4 linked regions of the Kluyveromyces lactis genome follow. The main gene of each other region encodes a partner of the protein of the gene in region 4 in a complex. Links are inferred from orthologs where the notes say so. Each region holds a gene or a part of one and is shown on either strand. Other genes may lie near its edges.

Region 1 (4,882 bases), on a different chromosome or scaffold from region 4:
TCTAACTAAATAGATTATTATATTATATTCGTTATATTGTTTGATATCAACGATCCCTCATCAGGCGATTAATCAATCAACTATCATCCAAAGCATATCACTACAGAAAAACAAAAATTCTAAGATGTACGTGTATACTTAATTTACCATGTGACTTCATTTTCCTTCCATGTTGATTTAGATAACGAGATATAGCTTGTCAAAGGGGTGTCAAGATATACATTCGCTACTGGCTTTCAAAAGCCTGTACTTGTTTCGGTATAAGCATTCACAAATGGTCTATGTGGCTTCAATCATTTTTGTCATATGTATGGCGTTTCCCATAGTTTTCTTTAGTTGATAATTGTCAAAATTTGAACAATGAATCATACCTATTAATCATCTCAATTCACAACATTGGGATACAGAAGAAGAGCCTCGTAGGTTTCCCTTATACTCCCAGCAGTGTATTATCAAAAGCTTTTGAAACATGTGTCTGTGCTGTATCTGCTGTACTGTATCAGATTTGATACTTTATATTGTTGCCATAATATTCCCACCGATTGCCGTGGGATTGAGATCGGGTTTATGTTCCAGTGACTTACTATTAAACGTGTTGCTAACTATGTTTGGGTTCCTCCCTGGAATGATTCATGCTTTTTATTATATTACCGTCACGTCACCGCTAAGGACGGATACCGAAACACGTTATTATTATGAGCAAGGGTGGAATGACGGACAAAGATATGGAAGCCCATCTGCGGTAACGACCGTTTCTCATCAACCCACTGGTGTAGAAGATCCTCTATTGCCAAGAACTCAGATTCCTCTAAGATATGAACCAAATAACTACGCTCAGGATGTGCCAAAGGGTTCTCCCCCACCATACACAGAAAGTGTATGATTAGGGGCGGTTAATTATCAGCACCTCATTTTTTTTTTACTTCTGCTATTTCATGATTGTTGTACATCTTCTACAAGGATTACCATTATATTAATTAGGGTTTATATTAGCTGCTATTCACGTAAACGTATAGATTATTTTGACTTACATTGTTGAAAGACTTCTAAGTTTTGGATCTTTTATTCATTTTAAAAACCTCAGGAATTACCATTCCAGCGTCTCTTTTATTGGATAGTGAGTAGTTTGTAATCAATATTTGGTCAACAAAGTTATCCGATTGTTGCGTTCTCAAACTATCTAATATCTTCATAGTACCTAATCGTTGGCCAACTTTGAATTCACCCCTCAGTAGTGCGATATCTCCCGTTAACGTTGTTAAGATGGAATAAAACTCAATATAATAGTCAGAACCATCTTGTTTGAACTGATTTAAAACTAACCCAATATCATTCACTATTCCTACACGGAAGTTTATTACTTTAACAGCCCCGACATCGTTATGTAGTAGATTCCTTGTACTTCTTAGCTGAAATCTATCCACCAACAATATTCCATTGATATCCCAAATCATGCAAAGGGAATCAGTAAGCATGAAAAACTTGATGAATGAGGAGAGATTATTTAAAGCTACATGAGCATCTCTGTCTTCTTCATTTACTTCCAGATAGTCATGTATTGAATCTAACTTCATCAGAGGCTCGTCCACGTATTTAGGACGAAAAGCGTTTACACTTAAAAATTTGTCCACAACAACAACATCCATATCTCTGTAAGTATCTGTAAGAAAAGAAGTTGCAGCTTCATACCCTGTCGAATTTGTTTCACCGTCGAGGCTTACTGTCTTTACCACTTGGAAATTTATAGGGAACGTCTGTTTCCGCAAGAATTTTAGAAACCGTTCAGTTTGTGTTATATTAGATTGGTGTTGGGTATGATTATCTAATATCTCGGTAGAAACTCCAAGTAATGAGAATGATTGGGAATCCAGCTCCAAGTCGACTACAGTTTCATTTCTAGCAACAGAATCGCTTTCATTGCGATTATTTGCTTCTTGTTTTTTGTCATAAAAGAACAATTCATGTAAGCCATCTTTCATATTACCTTGTTTTTGCCTCCAAACGGAGGAGCATTTGAATTCACAAACCATATCGCAAACCAGCATTCCCCTCCATACCCTAACATCTTGTTCCATGACAAAGCTTGAACGATCTCTCTTCAAATATTCTTGAAAAGCTGTCCCATGAACCGCTCTTGACATAAAATCAAAACTGGAAGGTTCTGAAACCCTTCTGTGCTTTTTGGAGAAGTACTCATCTTTAAGCTTTACAAATTCTGAGAAGAATGTCGTATACACCTCAGGTAAGAGTATTTTGTGAATTGTTAACGGCGTCTGCGGTGCCACGGTGATGACACTGAATCTGTCCATCGGGTTGATATGAAATGAGCTAACATCTGTCCTCAAAAACGTAACAAAACAATTTGAAAATGTCGGTACAGGGTCGGGATACCATTGTTTTATCGTTTCATGGAAGAATCCGTCTTCATTGATAGGATAACAATAATAACAAATGTGGCCACAACTATGTTCTTTTCTGAATCGAGTGATTTCTTTTAAGCTCCGTTCTGCAGCTGTTGCGTCAGAAGATTGTACTATGTCCGATCTCCAAGAGAAAGAATCTCTATACCGTTTATAGGAAGGTGATGCTTGAAATTCTTCGTCTTGAACGTAATCGTCTGGTAAGTTCAATATGAACCCAAATATGTCACCAACCGCAGAACATACATATAGAAACTTATCTTTATACTCTAAACCAACAATGGTTGTATCATTTGTAGTTATACTCGAAGTCATTGGTACGCAAAATAGTAGAAAATCTGGTCGTAAAGGAACGTTATTGGTTACCTTAAAATTGTAGTCCTTTATTATTTCGATTATGCCATTATTCCTTGCAACCAAAAGAAAGTCTGAATGCTCTTGATTGTGCAGATATTTTGATGTCGGTACAATAGGCATACTCCTTGGTCGTAGATAACAGAACTTTTGTATTATGCTATTGGTATCAGCAGCCCGATTTTTGGTGTTTACCTTCAAAGGATGGATCCTGTCATCTTTACATTGGAAAGCTCGGTAACCTGAAGGAGTTGTCTTCGAACATGATGGTTGTGAAACCAAAAAGGTGAAATTCGATTGCATTCAGGTAATCTTGGCTGGATATTATAAGGATAGCGTTCCACCTTCTGGGTGTTTTCACTTAAACGTCTTAGTTCGACTGAATAACGTTCATCTATTGAGTTTTGTGAAATTGAAAGACTAAAACCTCATCGCTAAATCTTCGATATAAAAGGACAGACGATATAGAAATTCATAAGCAGCAGAGAACACAACAACGTAAAATTATGAAGGTTATCTAGACCCCAATACTGTCATGAACACATGCGGAGCGTGCTCAATCGAGGAGGTCACACATCTATTCAAGCAGGTGGACAGAAATTAATATACATCGGCGATTTGATACTTATGGTAAAGGTCGACATCTTATGCTACGATCTTATAGTTATCTAAGAATTACCAGAAGATACATGACAGGTATAGGGTGGAACGAATCCGAAGTTTTGGTAGATAGAAAATCCAAGTTTCAAGCAAGGTGCCATGCTATCAAGAACCTGTCTGAAGTTGATAAGTTACTGGAGGTATTAGTGGAAAAAAATAAGGCCGTCCAAAAGGCAACGCACAAGCATATGTATGCATGGAGAACGGCAGATATTATACCCCCCGAGCACAATAAGAAAGGAAATAAGAAGAGGAAAAGGGGTTCATTGACAGTGCCTGGTGAACTGACAGGGCCGGCAATGTTAAAGAATATACAACAAGGATCAAATGACTGTGGTGAGGCTGGTGCAGGACAAAGACTTTTAACCTTGTTAGAAAGAAGTCATATTGCTAATGTTTTAGTTGTTGTTACAAGATGGTACGGTGGGACAGCATTGGGGCCCGCTAGATTCCGACATATTTCAACCACAGCTGTGGAAAGCTTGAAGAAAGGGAAGTTCTTGCCTTAACTATATTTTAAAAGTTTCCTATATGAACCTCATTCTGCAAACGAAAATATGTATATACGACATTATCCTAAAGGAATAGTATCACGTAAAGCAATACTTGTAAATATAGTCAACAGATGTTTAACAAGCCTATTAAAAAGATGTGTGCTCTCAGAGCCAGTGTTCATTGACATAACATACTGAGATGGAATAATCACTTCTGGGATTCAGAATCGTATTTTGAGTATACGTCAGTCCAGTATAATCTCAAAGCTGGATGTTGCAAACCCAATTGAGTGATCTTTTGGACTTCCTCATTAGCCAAAGAAAAACTAAAGATATCTTGCGCTTGTTGGATCCTTTCGATCTTCGAAGACGTAGTTACTGGCAAGATTCCACGCTCATAGACCCATGATAACAAGATTTGAGCCTCACTCTTGTTATACTTCTTTGACAATTCAGCGATATATTGGTAAAAAGGTAGCTTATCAGCATCTTCTGGTCTTCTTTGCAAAGGACCTAATGGTGAGTAGGCCTCAAGTAAAATACCATTCTTTTGACTGAATTCAACAATACCGGGAGTTTGATTTTGCAAGAATGGAGAGAATTCAATTTGGTTCACCTGCGGTTTAACCTCTGCCACTGCAAGCAATTTCTCCAAATCTTTTACAGCAAAGTTTGAAACACCGATGTTCTTAGCCTTTCCAGACTTGTATAGTTCTTCCAAATACTTCCAATTAGCCTCGACATCCAATTTGCTTTCCTTAATTATAGGAGAGTGCAATAGATACAAGTCCACGTAATCAACACCGAGCTTCTTCAATGATGTCTCTAAGGCAACTTTAGGGTTCTCAGAAAGCTGTTTCAAAGTAGAATACTTGTCAGTGATGAAGATTTCATCTCTTGGCTTCTTTGTATCCTTCAAAGCGGCACCCAATTCAGGATAAGTTCTGTATATCT
Region 2 (4,220 bases), on a different chromosome or scaffold from region 4:
TGGCAGCTAAGGGTAAGCCGACTAAACAACCTTTAAGACAAAAGGAACAACAACAAGTGAGAGGGTCAGGATTTTTACCATTTTCTTCAGATTCAACTCTGTTCTTGGTTGGTGAGGGTGATTTTTCATTCGCGAAGAGCATTATTGAACAGCAATACATTCAACCAGAAAATCTTATTATAACCAGTTTTGACAGTGGAATCAAAGAGTTAAAGCTAAAGTATCCACATAGCTTCGAAGAAAACTACAATTTCCTTAAAGAGAATGAAGTCGTCATGCTGTTCGGGATCGATGCAACAAACTTAAAAAAATCTTTGAAGATCACGAAAAAGACTCCATGGCAGAAAGTAGTGGGGAATTCATGGACTACAAAGAAACTGGATTTCATCTTATTCAATTTTCCACATACAGGTCGTGGAATAAAAGATCAAGGCAGAAATATTCACGAACATCAACAATTGGTGTACAAATACTTTGATAGTTGTAAGCAGCTGTTCAGACTCGTAAACAGTAGCCAGATTATGTTAAACTCAAGCATTTCTATGGGTGGATACTCACTAAATAATGAAACTCGAGTTGATGATGAAGGTTATGGAAAAGTGGTTCTTTCTCTATTTAGTGGCGAACCATACGATTCATGGCAAATAAAAATACTAGCGAAAGATAACGGTTGGAAAGTGGATAGATCAGGGAAATTCGACTGGTCCAAGTTTCCAGGGTATCATCACAAGCGTACCAATAGTGAAATGGATACTACCAAACCAGCTGAGGAAAGAGATGCCAGAATGTACGTTTTCGAAATGTTCAATAAACGTAAACATTCCAAAAAACCTTTGAAAGACGACAGCGATGATGAATAAGAAAATACATATTCTCTATTATATCTAAGTAGGATACATTTTGATAAAGTCTGTTGTAGCATATATTGATTTATCAATAGGGTCCATCACTTGGTTTTCTTTAAGTTTAGTGTACCCCATTTTGTTTAGTTTTCGAGATAATGATATTAGCTTTTCAGAGTCGTAAATATTGCCATTTGGCAACATTACTGGATTTTCAAATAAACTCGATTGGATATGATGGGCAAATGGTAAGTTTTCAGATAGAGGGAATATGTCATGATTGCATACGGGACAATCTGTATTGACAACGTTAGATTTAATGTATTCATTTACTTCCGGATTTTCATGAGGGATTAGTTGCGCGGAAATGGTGTGACCACAATCCTTTGTTTTTAACGAAGAGATTCCTAAGGATATATATATTAATAGTGGATCGTGGTAAGATATTTTGTAGAGTGAGTAAAATTCATGTAGGAACATTTTATTCAAACTTTCCCATCTCTCGTGGTCCAATAATGGACCATATCGACATAATTCAGCATTGTGAACAACGTTACTAGAAGAAATTGATGACAACGGATGTGGTCGATACATTTGTTTTCTAAAATAGGCATGAAACAACTTTTGTTCGTTTGTTACTTCGTCGTCACGACCATTGTTGAGGCAGCTTTTGAAGAAAGCAAGAATACCCGCTGCCAGTTTTAGTTCTTTGGGATATATATTTGCGAAATGGGCAAGGTGTGTTTGGAAGCACCTGATTGCTGCTTTATAATCGGAACATCGTACTAATTCAATGTACTCCTGCAATAACGCTTGGAACTGTAAATGCGAACCTTTTTCTGTCAAGTGCGCAGAGTTATTTTCAATCCACTCTAATAGAGGACGAAGGTTTTTATTTTCTATAAGTTCCATAGATATCTGATTAGCTTCTATGAGAACTTCGTAATCAATCAAATCCTCTAATCCCCTAGTCTTTATAAACTCTATGCCAGAGTTTGATGCAATCTTGTTTTTATGATCTATAGAATTCGAACCATGCCTTACCAAATAATCGGCAATTAACAAATCCGTGTATGACCTGTACCATTTTAGAAGCTTGTCAGTGTTAGAATCATATTTGAATCTTTCAAACTGCTTGAAGTATTCTACTCTCTTCTCAATCCTTTCTAAAATTGTTAACTCATTATCATGTAGTTGCGATAGTCTCTTCTGCAAAATGTTCACTGTGTTGATTATATCATTCAATTTTTCTATTGATTGCTCATCCTTATTTGGATCTTCAAGTAAAGTGTTCAAAGTAGCGAATTGTCCCTGTAGCTCTACTGAATAGCTTGTATATAGGTTGTTGAATTTATCCCAGTTTCGCTTTAACAATTCGGAAGGAATGTTAAACTGCTGCTGGTTTAATTTTAGGTGAAAATCGACATTAGGTTCGTTTAACGAAGTCATAATGACATCTAAAGGCTTTTTGGTAGATTTACCGTCACCAGTATTACACTGATTGATCCAGTTTGTCAGTTATTTGGTTCATCCCTAAAGATTAAGGTATATTGTGAAAACCCCTTTCAATTTTCTTATGCAATTTGATGCAGAAATACAAAGATATAGTTACCATGAATGAAATACATCAACCGGTACGCTGGAAAAAAAAAATTGCTAAAGTCGAGTTGATGCAGTACCAACTGGAGGGTAGGAATATCAGGCGAAACATTACAGACGTTTGTTTATACACTGTTAGTGAAAAGATAAATACCAATGGCTAAGTGTTGCGCCTAAAGTTTAAGACCCAGAAAGCATCAAACAGACGAGGACAGAATATATTACATTTTAATAATTTTATTTAGAAAGCTCCTTGCTCATAATCTAGCCAAGAAAGAATGATTGGAACCATTGAATGATTTAACTGCGAGATGCTGAACTGGTCATACAAAAAGTGTGATATACACACAACTTACCATAATAATAAGACCGTACCAGACTAATGCCAGACTTCCATATCTGTGAGCTTTATCCCATCCTCCGATTCTCTCACCGTTCATCAAAGATTCAGTACCAATTAACTTCCACCCAAATAATCCTGGCAACGTGAATGAAATGGCTGTAGAACCAGTTGCACCAACAAGTGCAAGAACTAAAGCGAATGACTCAACGTTTAGCGCTAGAACGTATAGTACAGCAAGTAAGAAGAAAGTGACAGTCAAAAATCTGGAATCAGGGAATGGGACTGCTTCAGTGCGTTCATCAACCTGATCATCATTATCATCGTCGGTTGCCCTCGGTAGTGATTGGTACGTGTGGACAAATGAAGTGTCATGGGAGGAGCCTAGCTCTTGTTCGAGGTATTCTCTATCAGTATCATCCTCAATTTCCAGGGTAATAGGCCCTATCGTTTCATCTATTTCAGACTTTGTTCCATAGTTCAATTGTAACCAATGGACCATATTGTTCGCCGATATACGGCAAGGATGGAACAACAAGGGAAATGACAAAACAACCATCAGGCCAAGATTGAACCTAGCAAATCTGACAGAGAGCTTATCAGCATCATAGTTTAGTATGACATTTCCCAGAGTTTCTTTTCCGAAAGTCAAATATCCGAACAGCCCCAAGATTATGAAACAGGCGGATGATACTACGATGGAATTGTTTATGATCTTTTTGATATTTGTCATTGAATTTTCCTTCAATTCATTTATTATCGAAAATAGATTCATTGAACCAGTAAATGCAAATACAATAATACTAAATGTCGTCAAGACTCCAGATCTATCCGATATAGAGAACCAATCAACTTTGGGTTTTGGGTAATTTCCGAAGGAATAGCTTCCAATAATCAATAAACCAATGTAACCCAATGCCAACAGACCAATAACACTAGTATATTTCAAGCTATCAAAATGTCTTAATAAAGATAACGGAACGATAATGATTGCTGACAACAATATCCAGTTTGTCCTCGTGCCGCCAAATAACGCTGGGAATAAGTCACCAATTAAGATCAAATAAGAAAGAGCAACCCCAAAACATTGTATGAACATAGCAAAATCAAACAGCAAAGACAGATTAGGATATGTAATAGAACATAAAGTGAAAAAAGAAGAGTGACGTGGATTTAACAATGTCTTTGAGCATTTTGCTAGGATAAATAAGCCGTACCCTGATGTGAATGCAGCCATCAGTATCAAACTAACAGCAAAAAAAACCCCATCACAACGGAAAGCATATGGAATAGCTAATAGGCCTGCGCCGACAATAGTCTTTATAAGGTTTATAGTAGATGATGCAACAGTTCCAGTTGCTGACATAGCTCTTTTAAGGTATATCAACAACTACTTATTATTTTTGTATTCAAAGTGTGAGAGAACAAAACCTAAATTA
Region 3 (3,677 bases), on a different chromosome or scaffold from region 4:
TAACCTTTAACATAGATCTTGTTTCGTTGGAAAGTTGGGTGAGATCATTGACCAAAACATCCTTAATCTTCTGGGAACTCCATGTCAGCAAATGAAATGTCAACTGTTCATTGTACTCTGATAGTCTTTTCAAAATCCGTTTGAATTCTTCTTGATTCATATCCTGGTCGATCGCAGTGTCAGCCAAAAAATCAAGGGATCCACTTCTATAGTGACCACCGTAATGGTAGTCCCTTTGACGAGGACTAATTTGCGGTGACGAATTTGACGACGAAAGAAAATTTCCTGTCGTTGAAACGGTAATGTTTGTTTGTGACGTCTTGTTTGTCCGAATACTCGAATCGTTCTGCCTGTCGTAGTTCAATAGATTTGGGATGGAAGCAACACTATGGTAGCTGACACTTTGGGATAATGATTGAGGTGTTCTCGATGTAGGAGTTGCAGATGATGAAATAGAACCAGATTTGGGACTTTGGGACCCCTTTTGTGCCAGCGACGCTGTCATAGTTTCCATGAATGTCATAATAACAATTATACTGACTAGCCGTATGTCTATTTATGTGTATGTGTGATAAGCAATGTTGAACGAATATATTATTCAAAATGATATCGACTGTGTCTTGGCAAAAAAATTTGGTTTGGCTCTGTGGTTCTATTTTGTTATTTCAATTGAATGATAATGAGATTGCAATCTAACGAGTTACCTCTCTGTTAGTTTCGAATCTACTCTTGGCCTTAAATACCTGGCTTATTTGATGTTCGAAGAACTCGGAAAAGTACGCATATATTTATATCATTTCATTTTTGTATAGATCATTTCAGTTCCTTAATTTGATTTGACACTTTTTTGTCATCAGAATCTAAGTAAGTTTCAATTTAGAATATAGAAACGGCTTGGATTGCCTCCTCCATTTCATTATTGATCCTAAACCAATGAATATTGAAACTGTAAAGTTTTTAAATCTGTGTTATGCCCTCGATATGTCTACTGTTTTGTATATTACTACGTAAAATGTCGACTATAGCTGCTATGAGTGACATCTCATGAATCGTTTCCCTCTACTTGAAAGATACAAAAAAAAGAGTCCAGATTCAAGAAGATTTAAATTGAGAAGTTTCTCGATTACTGTTATCTGAAGCTACAAACCACGATTTGATATCTACATGAACTCCTTTTCTTTTCAGAATTGATCTGTCCCATTTCCTCGTCGTCAGAGGCCTGTTCCCTTATTTATTCACAAAGGTTTTTCACGAAATGAACCTTAACATCACTTAGTAAAGAAACTGGGCATTATCAACAGAAAAACAAAAAAATGAGCACCTAATTGTAAGTTGAAAGTGAGACTTCCTTAGCCCCTAATATTGAAAGAAAGAGTGGTACTATACTATTTGCGCTAAGCATAAGCCAATCTAGTTTTCCCTAGACTTATTGCTTCATACAAACGATGACCAATTTTAAATCTACCTATGAGAAGAAATCTTTCACTAGAGAACAATGGATGAAAGTGGTGCAGGACGCCAATCCCTATGATCGCAGCAACAGTGAGTTGTCGAATAATGAGCCGGTAATACCAATGTTATTATTGAACTATTTTGTGGTGATGGCATATGAGGAATCTAGTATCCGCATGGCTAAGGAGCTTGGGTTTTTGAATTCCAACAAAGACATTGAAGAATTCAACTCTGTATATATGATTAAGAAAAGGGCATACATCAAGGAACTTATCAAGAAGGGTGAAATTTTACTAGCTATGGAAAAGATTACCGAGGTATTTGGAATAGAGGTACTCGAAAGTTTGAATGACCATATTACAGATGAAGATTTGAACTTCAAGCTATTGTTGTTGAACCTTATTGAAATGATTCGTTCCCACAACGCCAAGGGCGACCCTAACGATCAGGAGCAGTTTATATTAGAGCTTATCTCTTATGCTCAGGATAAACTTGCTTTGAAAGCAAGCTCCAAAAAAGAGTATATGAAGGAAGTCGAATTAGTTATGACCCTTCTTCTCTTCCCGTTATCGGATGAGGATGGTTCGAGTCCTTCTGCTAAGTTACCAAAGAAGTTGAAACAGCTATATTCCTTAAATATGAGAACTAAAGTAGCTGATCTAGTGAACAGAAAGCTTTTGCAATCGATATTACCGAGGATAAACTCTCAACTCGAAAAATCTGGTTTACCTGACATCTTAGGATCCAGCTTCCAATCAAATCGAGTTCCCACTCTAACAAACGTTATACGATCCATTCCAAGGGAATCTATCACGACAGAAAGGCTTACCGGAGAGCTAGCACATATTGAAGAAAAGCAGGGAAGTTCTATGAGCACCAATTCCGACATGAGTCGCATACAAGGTGAAATCTTTGAAGAGTTAGGTGAGAACTTGCATTCTTATTATATCCCTAACGACGTTAGATTGGTACAAATCATGAAACTTTGGGTTTGGTGTGAAAACCAATTGCATAGTTCGGATGTTGGTGTTCCGAGGGTTGAAGGAGTGATTTAGTGCAAAATCTATAATCTTTTATACTATATATGCATGGGTTCCCTATATTCACATTATGTTTTCAAGCATTTAACGGCAGCTTGCAATTTTCACACCAAAAACTCACAGTCTATAGTGTCACCAGTTTCCATCTTTAAGAAACACAATTGAATATCGTCGAGGTTTTTTGGAAGTTCCTCGCTCATGGTGTTGTAGATTTTTACATTTTTGGTAATGGTGAAGGTTTTGCTTGGCTGTTTGAACTGATCATAAAAGTGACCATCTTTAAAGAAGTGATAAAGTTTTGATTTTAATAGCCTTAATGTACAACCAAACTCTGGTCTTTTTTCATTTTCGAATTCTTCTGGTGAGAATTCAATGTGGAATGTGATTGGATTATCCAACAGAAGCTTTTTGGTATCTTCGTCGATAACTTGGCATCTAACGTATATGTGAGCGACATGCACAGGTTTGGCAAAGAACTTTTCCCTCGATTCGAACTCCTCGATTATGAGACCGGATTTTTCATCAAACCATTCTGTGGCATGGTACGAATCGTCATGTATGAATCGATGGTTTCTAATAAAATCTTCGTCCAATTTAGTGCTGTTCAATTGTTCCCATGTATCCATTTGTAAGGCACTCATTTGAATTGTTATGTAGAGTTCATTCACAAGAGCAAATCCTCCCATCACCACAAGAAAAAGTGTTATTCGGGCACTTAGCGGGTCATCAGTGTATTGTTTAAGAAAGTTTACTTTTCTGATCCAAGCGATCATAATGCTTTCCAATTGCAAATAGTGACGCAGCACCGTCGCGCGTAATTCCTCCATATTGGCCTTTTCAGGTCTTATAAAGTTATATTAGTTTGCAGGTCACCTTTATTAGCTCGCACTAGTCCACTTCAAGTGATTTCTATATCTTTACGTTTTATTGCATTTGAAGGTGTGTAGTTTCTTCTAAGTTTATCGATTTACAAAGCTTGTTTTTCATGCCCCGACGTTAAACGAGAACAACATACATATCGAGAATGCACATACATTCTTCAAACAATTCATGTGGCCAGCTTCTGTAGCGACCGGAAACTGACTCTAGTTAAATGGTAGGTATGCTTTTGGATTACTCTGATATATCTAACCTTAAACTCCTGACTCTAAATTCTAACTGTTATAAAAGAACTCGTCTTACAAT
Region 4 (5,128 bases):
AGAAGCATCCAATAAATCAGGGTCTGAGAATGTTTTGTAACTGAAAATACTCTTCAGATTTCTGAACAACACAGAGTTAATTGCATTCACTGGTGTTGTGAAAGTTGGCAACTGAGTGCTCTCAGTTGGAAGACCAAATGGATTGGTCACATATGATAAAGACATTGCGTTTGCGTTGTCAATGTGATTGATGCTGCCTTTAGCTAGAACAAACTATCCTACCATTAAAAACTTATCGATGCAGTAACACACAAAAACACTTTCTACCTTTATATAGTTCTAACGTAAATACTGAATGTTACATCGCTGGAAAAAGCTTTTTCCTATAGAAGACTTGCCCCGGTCCTGTGAAGCTCTCTCAGGTGCACGCTCACTAAGCTTCGAGAGTTTCGCTTAGTTCGATTTCTTTTTCGTCATTTGAATCATAGAGCCACAATTGTGGGATATTGTCACGTGATTTTGCTTCATCAAATCACCTGAACAGGCGGAAGTGGCTCATGCATGTGGTGGAATAGTGGTCTTCCTGAACGTTTCCATTTGGTATAGTAGGGTCTTAGCACGTTCCTTTACGTCTAAATCGCCGTTCCAATCCAAGATTTTCTTTACTGCGTCATTGAAACCTAGCTTATCGAGCTTTTTGAACCTTATGATTGCTGGACTTAAAGCCGAAATGTTTCCAGTGGTAGTTGCTGGGCGGATGAAATCTTTATGAGGATCAGTTGAGTCCTCTTCTTCGTCATTACTTTGCTCCTCTTCGTCGAAATCACCTTCTCGCTCTTCTTGTTCTGGGACTTCTTCTTCTTCTGAAGACATGTTTGATGCTCGTGCATTTAATGGCATTCTAACGAGAGGATCATCGTTTCTGTCTTCGAGAGCTGAGCTGCTACCTTCTTGAAGGGCCCAGTCCGTGTCGAAGTGCGGGTTTCCGTTTTCTGGTAGAGAATTATTGTAAGGGACGTGCTGGATGGAGGAGTCCCATATTAGATTCGTGATTATCCAAAGACACGCTTTAGTAATTTCATCTCCCTTGGCCATTAAGATATATTCTTTCACGATATCTAGTAGTTCATCCTGGGAAATAACCAGGTTTCTCTTGTTTTCATTTATAGCGGTGAAATTGACCACTATATAGAGTAGTGCTTCAGCGATCTTATTGTCACTGTAATAACTGTCATCATGCAATACAGTTTTCAATTTCAAAGCTAAAAACCTTAGGAACTGGTTTCCCTGAGTACATGATTCATCTCTTCCACTGACTTCTCCACTGCCGTTATTTGTGTTCGCGAGCATATCTGTATGTTTGAAGGAATCTAATATCATGTTGATCACCTTCCTCGAATTACATGTCAAATTTCTCAACAATTGGAAACATTGATTTAGTACGCTGGGCTCAGCGGAATGCACAAATTGTAGGATTGATTCTAAGTCAATCTGAGATAACAATTCTAGTTTGTCGCATGTCTCTGAATTGTATATCAAATGCCTCAAGACCCAAAGGGAGTTCGTCTGGATGACCGTAATTTCGGAATAGACGCTTGCCTCGTTATGGAATACTATAATCGGATTCCCCTTTGCAAATTCTGGCATCAGGGCACGATCTAAATACTCAGAGTTGAATATAGGGTTGGTAAAAATGTGTTTAATCAATGCAATGATTCCGTTCTTTTTCATGAGCGTTCTTAAAGAAGAAAATTCGACAACAAAGTTTGACATTGCTCCTAACAATTCGCCTAGTAATATTAGCTCTTGGCATAAGAGGTGCGGAATTCCACCATCATACGTCATTGAAACGATTTCATAAATCTCTCTTGCTAATTTTAGAGTATAATCTGCTAGCTTATTTCTCTTCAACGATGTCCTTAAAACTCCCACACTTCTGGAGCAAGCCTTCAAGCACTTTGCCCAATTAGTAACTAATTCAGAATCAAAAAGCGGTGGTAAGGGTGCCATGTTCCTCAATTGTGTCCAATCCTCACGGAAATTGTTCAAGATTAGCAAGTGTGAACTGAATGCGTTCTCCATATATTGTAAAACCGCGATGTTCTCCAAAAACAATAGCCTACACCTTTCATCCTTACCTATAATTTCAGAAAAGAACTTTAGATAATCAGAAAGCAGTTGAAGTTTGTTGGTGTCTTGTTTCTCCAGGCTCAATAGTCTTAAAAAAGTGTCTATCATACCATTCAATAGATTCGAATCGAAAAATGTGTCAATCACAACATTTTCCGGTTTATGTGCGACAGTGAACTCTGTTGCTAGAGAACAAAGGATTTCTAAAGGGGAGAAAAATATTGGTAGCTCAGGTTCATTCAAAGTCGATATGAGAGTAGGTAACCATAGTTTTATCGGGAAGGGCAAGTTGCTATCCGTATTTGAGCCGAAATCACTTCTATTTTCCGAGTACCAAGAATCTCCAAGTTGACAATAGAAGAATGATAAAGCCGACGTTTTCAATCTTATATCAGGGTGTCTTAATAATGAAGCATAGAACACATTGACCTTCATATCCGCCAAGAAAGAGAACTGGTTTCCACCATTCGATTGCAATACTGTTAACAAGTTTGATATCACAAAAATCAATTGAACGTCAAAAAGGTCGCTAATATGCAAGCATTGCGGTAGGGATTCAAATGGTTGAATCTTTTGTTCACTTCCCGCTGAGCCCCTGCTCTTATTCATGAGCTGCGCACCGGTGTTGTTAGGATCGTAGAACACATCATAGTCCATGTCATATGACTCCTTGGCTGAAGTAACCATAGCGTATTTGAAATTGACTTTGGGCACATATTTATCCACATAGAAATTAAACACATCCCTCAAAATCAGCACTAGGTCCTGACTTGTCATTACAAATGGCAATGTGGATAAGTATGTCATATATTCCAATACGATTTCTCTGTATATAGATTCATCGGTCCGTATGAGACGCTCAGCTGCAAGCTTAAAGAAACTCAAAGGTTCCACATAATAGAATTCTTGGAAGAAGAACTGCTCATTTGTTTCCGCCTCCGTGCAGTTCTCTACACAGATTCTCCTTAGCTTGACATACTTAGCAATATCCTCAATCATGGAGTCATTTGGAATCTGCATCTCTAATACCCTAACAAAGATCTCCGTTCCATATTTTCCAAGCTCCCTGCAGCTGCCCTTGTCTAAGTGAGATAGAATCAATAAGACATCCAATTTTAAGGAAAGATAGTGTTTGTAGTCTATGATAGCATCAAACAAGTCCCTGTGATCTTTGTAGAAGTTGAATTTGGCACTTTGGTCACCGATGAGGCCCTTGCGAAGCTCCAAAAGCACCTGCTTCGTGACTCTCTGACGTTGCTGAGTAACCATTGTTGTCTTATTTTGCACTCTGGCCACCGCGCGGTTGTCTTTTGAAGACACCCTTATTCACTCTTTCACAGGTTCGAACTATGTCAAATCCCTTAACCGTGAATGTAGATATATGATGGAATAGCGTTCTTGGGCAAAACTACAAATAAAGGCAGAAAGGATACAACTTATGGTGCGATCTCACTAGTCGGGGGTGTTAGGATAGACGGATGGTACTAGGTAAGCGATTGATATGTGTATTTACGTATTTTGCTACGACTATGAGGAGAGATAGGAGGTTATTTGCTTACGGTCACGTTTATTGCACGTGATACGATAAACGAACATGCATAAATACTGGAATGGGTACACTACGTCCAGTTTGAAGTTCCATGACTATCAGTAAGCAGTTTCACATGTCTATTTGGTATCCTTAACCTTCTGGTGATACACCTCAGTGTTATTGCATTCGAGATTTCTAACTAGCACTGTTTCACGCAGAGATATATATTGTTGATATTATCAACATATGATGAAAAGTTTCACGAGATCAAGCAACTTGACAAGACAAAGCTGCGAAGTCAGACAGGACTCTGTGGTATCTCATCAATTGGTAGATAGTTTCCCAGTGGCCATGGATAAATTACAAGAATACGCACATGCGTGCTTGGTTGATTTGAGAAGAATACATTCTCTGGAAGATGCCTACCAATCAATGACAGTTAGAGTGTCCGGTATAATGATAGTGACAGCATTAGTGCTATGGATCTCTAGTGGTACGACCAAAAAACCTCGTGGGAAGAAGTCTAGAAAGTCTAAGAAGGGAAAACATGCTGCTAAGAAGAGCCAAAAAGAGATTGAGAAGGAGAAGTTGAAGAACATGTCTGAAGAAGAAACCATCAAATACGTTCTCGATAAATTTACCAACGAATACGAAGAAGGCTTGCATAAGTTGTTGGAAAATTACGATTCTACGTCTGAAACCATGCAGTACCAACGTAATTTCTACAATGAAATGCTTTTACACCTTCTATTGGATTTAGATGGTGTTCATCTCGGTAACTTGGAAGGTGAAAAGAAGGAACAGGTGCGTTTGCAAAGAAAGGCTGCTATTAAAAAGATCCAATTAGAATTGAAGAAGTTGGATAAGCTGTAATGATTGATAGCAAACAATAGATTGATTGGTGGAGTTTTGCCAAATACTGAGACACAGCCAGAGCAAGAGAATAATGATCTCAAAAAACAACGAACAAAGCAACCCGTATAGTGTCGGTGGTTTAAGTAACCGTGTATACTAATCTTAATGAATGATTCAATTCAATCTAAACATTTACGGGAATTTACTGAGGGGAATTGGAGCGAGCAATATATTGTACTAATGGCTAGACCTCTCAATAGACCAGGTCACCCGAGTTCATTCCACAAACGACAAAACACTACAAGAGGATAGAGGACATACTTAACAGCTAGTTTCAGTTCCTGCAGTTCCTGCATTCTTAATAGGCAGCATCTCATATGCCACGATGATGATAGGTACAGGGTTCTCAAGTCGTTCTTCATTTCTGTTGTATGTTGTAATACTTATTGTGGTAACCAAATCAGGTAATTTGTATGACAGAAATTGAAACTAACCGTGGAAGGTTATTCGCAAAATAGTTCTTGGAACTATGAGCAGTACTTGATAGATATTCACACTTAAGTTTAACCGTAAAGATCTTCAGTTTGGTTATGACGACTTAATTTCTCAAATAGGCAATTACACAGTGACATCTTCAAGACGGCCATTAATAAAGTAAAACATATATAAAAG

Evidence for each region.
Region 1: the proteins of VID28 (region 4) and GID12 are in contact, whole or in part, in a cryo-EM structure (PDB 7WUG), measured with the Saccharomyces cerevisiae proteins. The link is inferred for Kluyveromyces lactis from reciprocal best matches to the Saccharomyces cerevisiae genes VID28 and GID12. Residues at the interface, in NP_012247.3 of Saccharomyces cerevisiae: Gln786, Tyr787, Ala788, Gly854, Glu856, Phe857, Val858, Arg859, Thr860, Ala863; in NP_010105.1 of Saccharomyces cerevisiae: Arg24, Phe26, Arg32, Leu33, Leu35, Glu640, Ile641, Lys658, Leu659, Cys660, Asp661, Ser662, Leu663, Lys664, Leu665, Asn666, Arg667, Arg670.
Region 2: the proteins of VID28 (region 4) and FYV10 are in contact, whole or in part, in a cryo-EM structure (PDB 7NS3), measured with the Saccharomyces cerevisiae proteins. The link is inferred for Kluyveromyces lactis from reciprocal best matches to the Saccharomyces cerevisiae genes VID28 and FYV10. Residues at the interface, in NP_012247.3 of Saccharomyces cerevisiae: Asp70, Ile71, Val72, Gly73, Thr74, Tyr75, Phe77, Asp78, Leu445, Asp448, Phe449, Ile456, Thr459, Thr460, Ser463, His464, Leu468, Pro469, Pro470, Ile471, Tyr472, Phe528; in NP_012169.1 of Saccharomyces cerevisiae: Lys305, Ile308, Phe309, His311, Phe312, Phe313, His314, Lys315, Leu317, Pro318, Arg319, Ile320, Thr321, Ser322.
Region 3: the proteins of VID28 (region 4) and GID8 are in contact, whole or in part, in a cryo-EM structure (PDB 7NS3), measured with the Saccharomyces cerevisiae proteins. The link is inferred for Kluyveromyces lactis from reciprocal best matches to the Saccharomyces cerevisiae genes VID28 and GID8. Residues at the interface, in NP_012247.3 of Saccharomyces cerevisiae: Asn15, Leu17, Val18, Gly19, Asp20, Gln21, Leu22, Lys24, Asp56, Tyr59, Thr60, His63, Gln68, Phe77, Asp78, Ser81, Lys106, Ala112, Tyr115, Pro116, Asn117, Cys118, Gly119, Phe120, Leu123, Ser141, Cys143, Lys144, Ile145, Val148; in NP_013854.1 of Saccharomyces cerevisiae: Glu151, Asn154, Leu159, Glu160, Leu162, Glu163, His194, Asn232, Ile236, Lys237, His299, Pro300, Arg301, Gln303, Phe304, Ser307, Asn308, Lys322, Ile323, Ile324, Phe328, Thr329, Val330, Tyr331, Asn332, Asn334, Leu335, Val336, Asn337, Gly338.

Annotation. Positions count from the first base shown.
Region 1 is NC_006042.1:560,454-565,335, reverse strand, and holds GID12 (Gid12p), read right to left. Parts: upstream 3,078-4,882; coding exon 1,047-3,077; downstream 1-1,046. Other genes in the region: SNA4 (Sna4p), read left to right, coding at 470-883; KLLA0_F05797g (uncharacterized protein), read left to right, coding at 3,422-3,943; KLLA0_F05775g (aldo-keto reductase superfamily protein), read right to left, coding at 4,137-4,882. UniProt on the Saccharomyces cerevisiae protein: Regulator of the GID E3 ligase complex. Modulates both assembly of the substrate receptor GID4 into the GID E3 ligase complex and its activity toward its substrates.
Region 2 is NC_006041.1:764,114-768,333, forward strand, and holds FYV10 (glucose-induced degradation complex subunit FYV10), read right to left. Parts: upstream 2,292-4,220; coding exon 885-2,291; downstream 1-884. Other genes in the region: BMT5 (25S rRNA (uracil2634-N3)-methyltransferase), read left to right, coding at 1-860; AVT7 (Avt7p), read right to left, coding at 2,765-4,147. UniProt on the Saccharomyces cerevisiae protein: Component of the GID E3 ligase complex recruiting N termini and catalyzing ubiquitination of proteins targeted for degradation.
Region 3 is NC_006042.1:1,569,845-1,573,521, forward strand, and holds GID8 (glucose-induced degradation complex subunit GID8), read left to right. Parts: upstream 1-1,445; coding exon 1,446-2,507; downstream 2,508-3,677. Other genes in the region: GAT2 (Gat2p), read right to left, coding at 1-523; ERG29 (Erg29p), read right to left, coding at 2,597-3,319. UniProt on the Saccharomyces cerevisiae protein: Component of the GID E3 ligase complex recruiting N termini and catalyzing ubiquitination of proteins targeted for degradation.
Region 4 is NC_006040.1:1,338,352-1,343,479, reverse strand, and holds VID28 (glucose-induced degradation complex subunit VID28), read right to left. Parts: upstream 3,340-5,128; coding exon 496-3,339; downstream 1-495. Other genes in the region: MET10 (sulfite reductase subunit alpha), read right to left, coding at 1-165; SNL1 (Snl1p), read left to right, coding at 3,848-4,474. UniProt on the Saccharomyces cerevisiae protein: Component of the GID E3 ligase complex recruiting N termini and catalyzing ubiquitination of proteins targeted for degradation.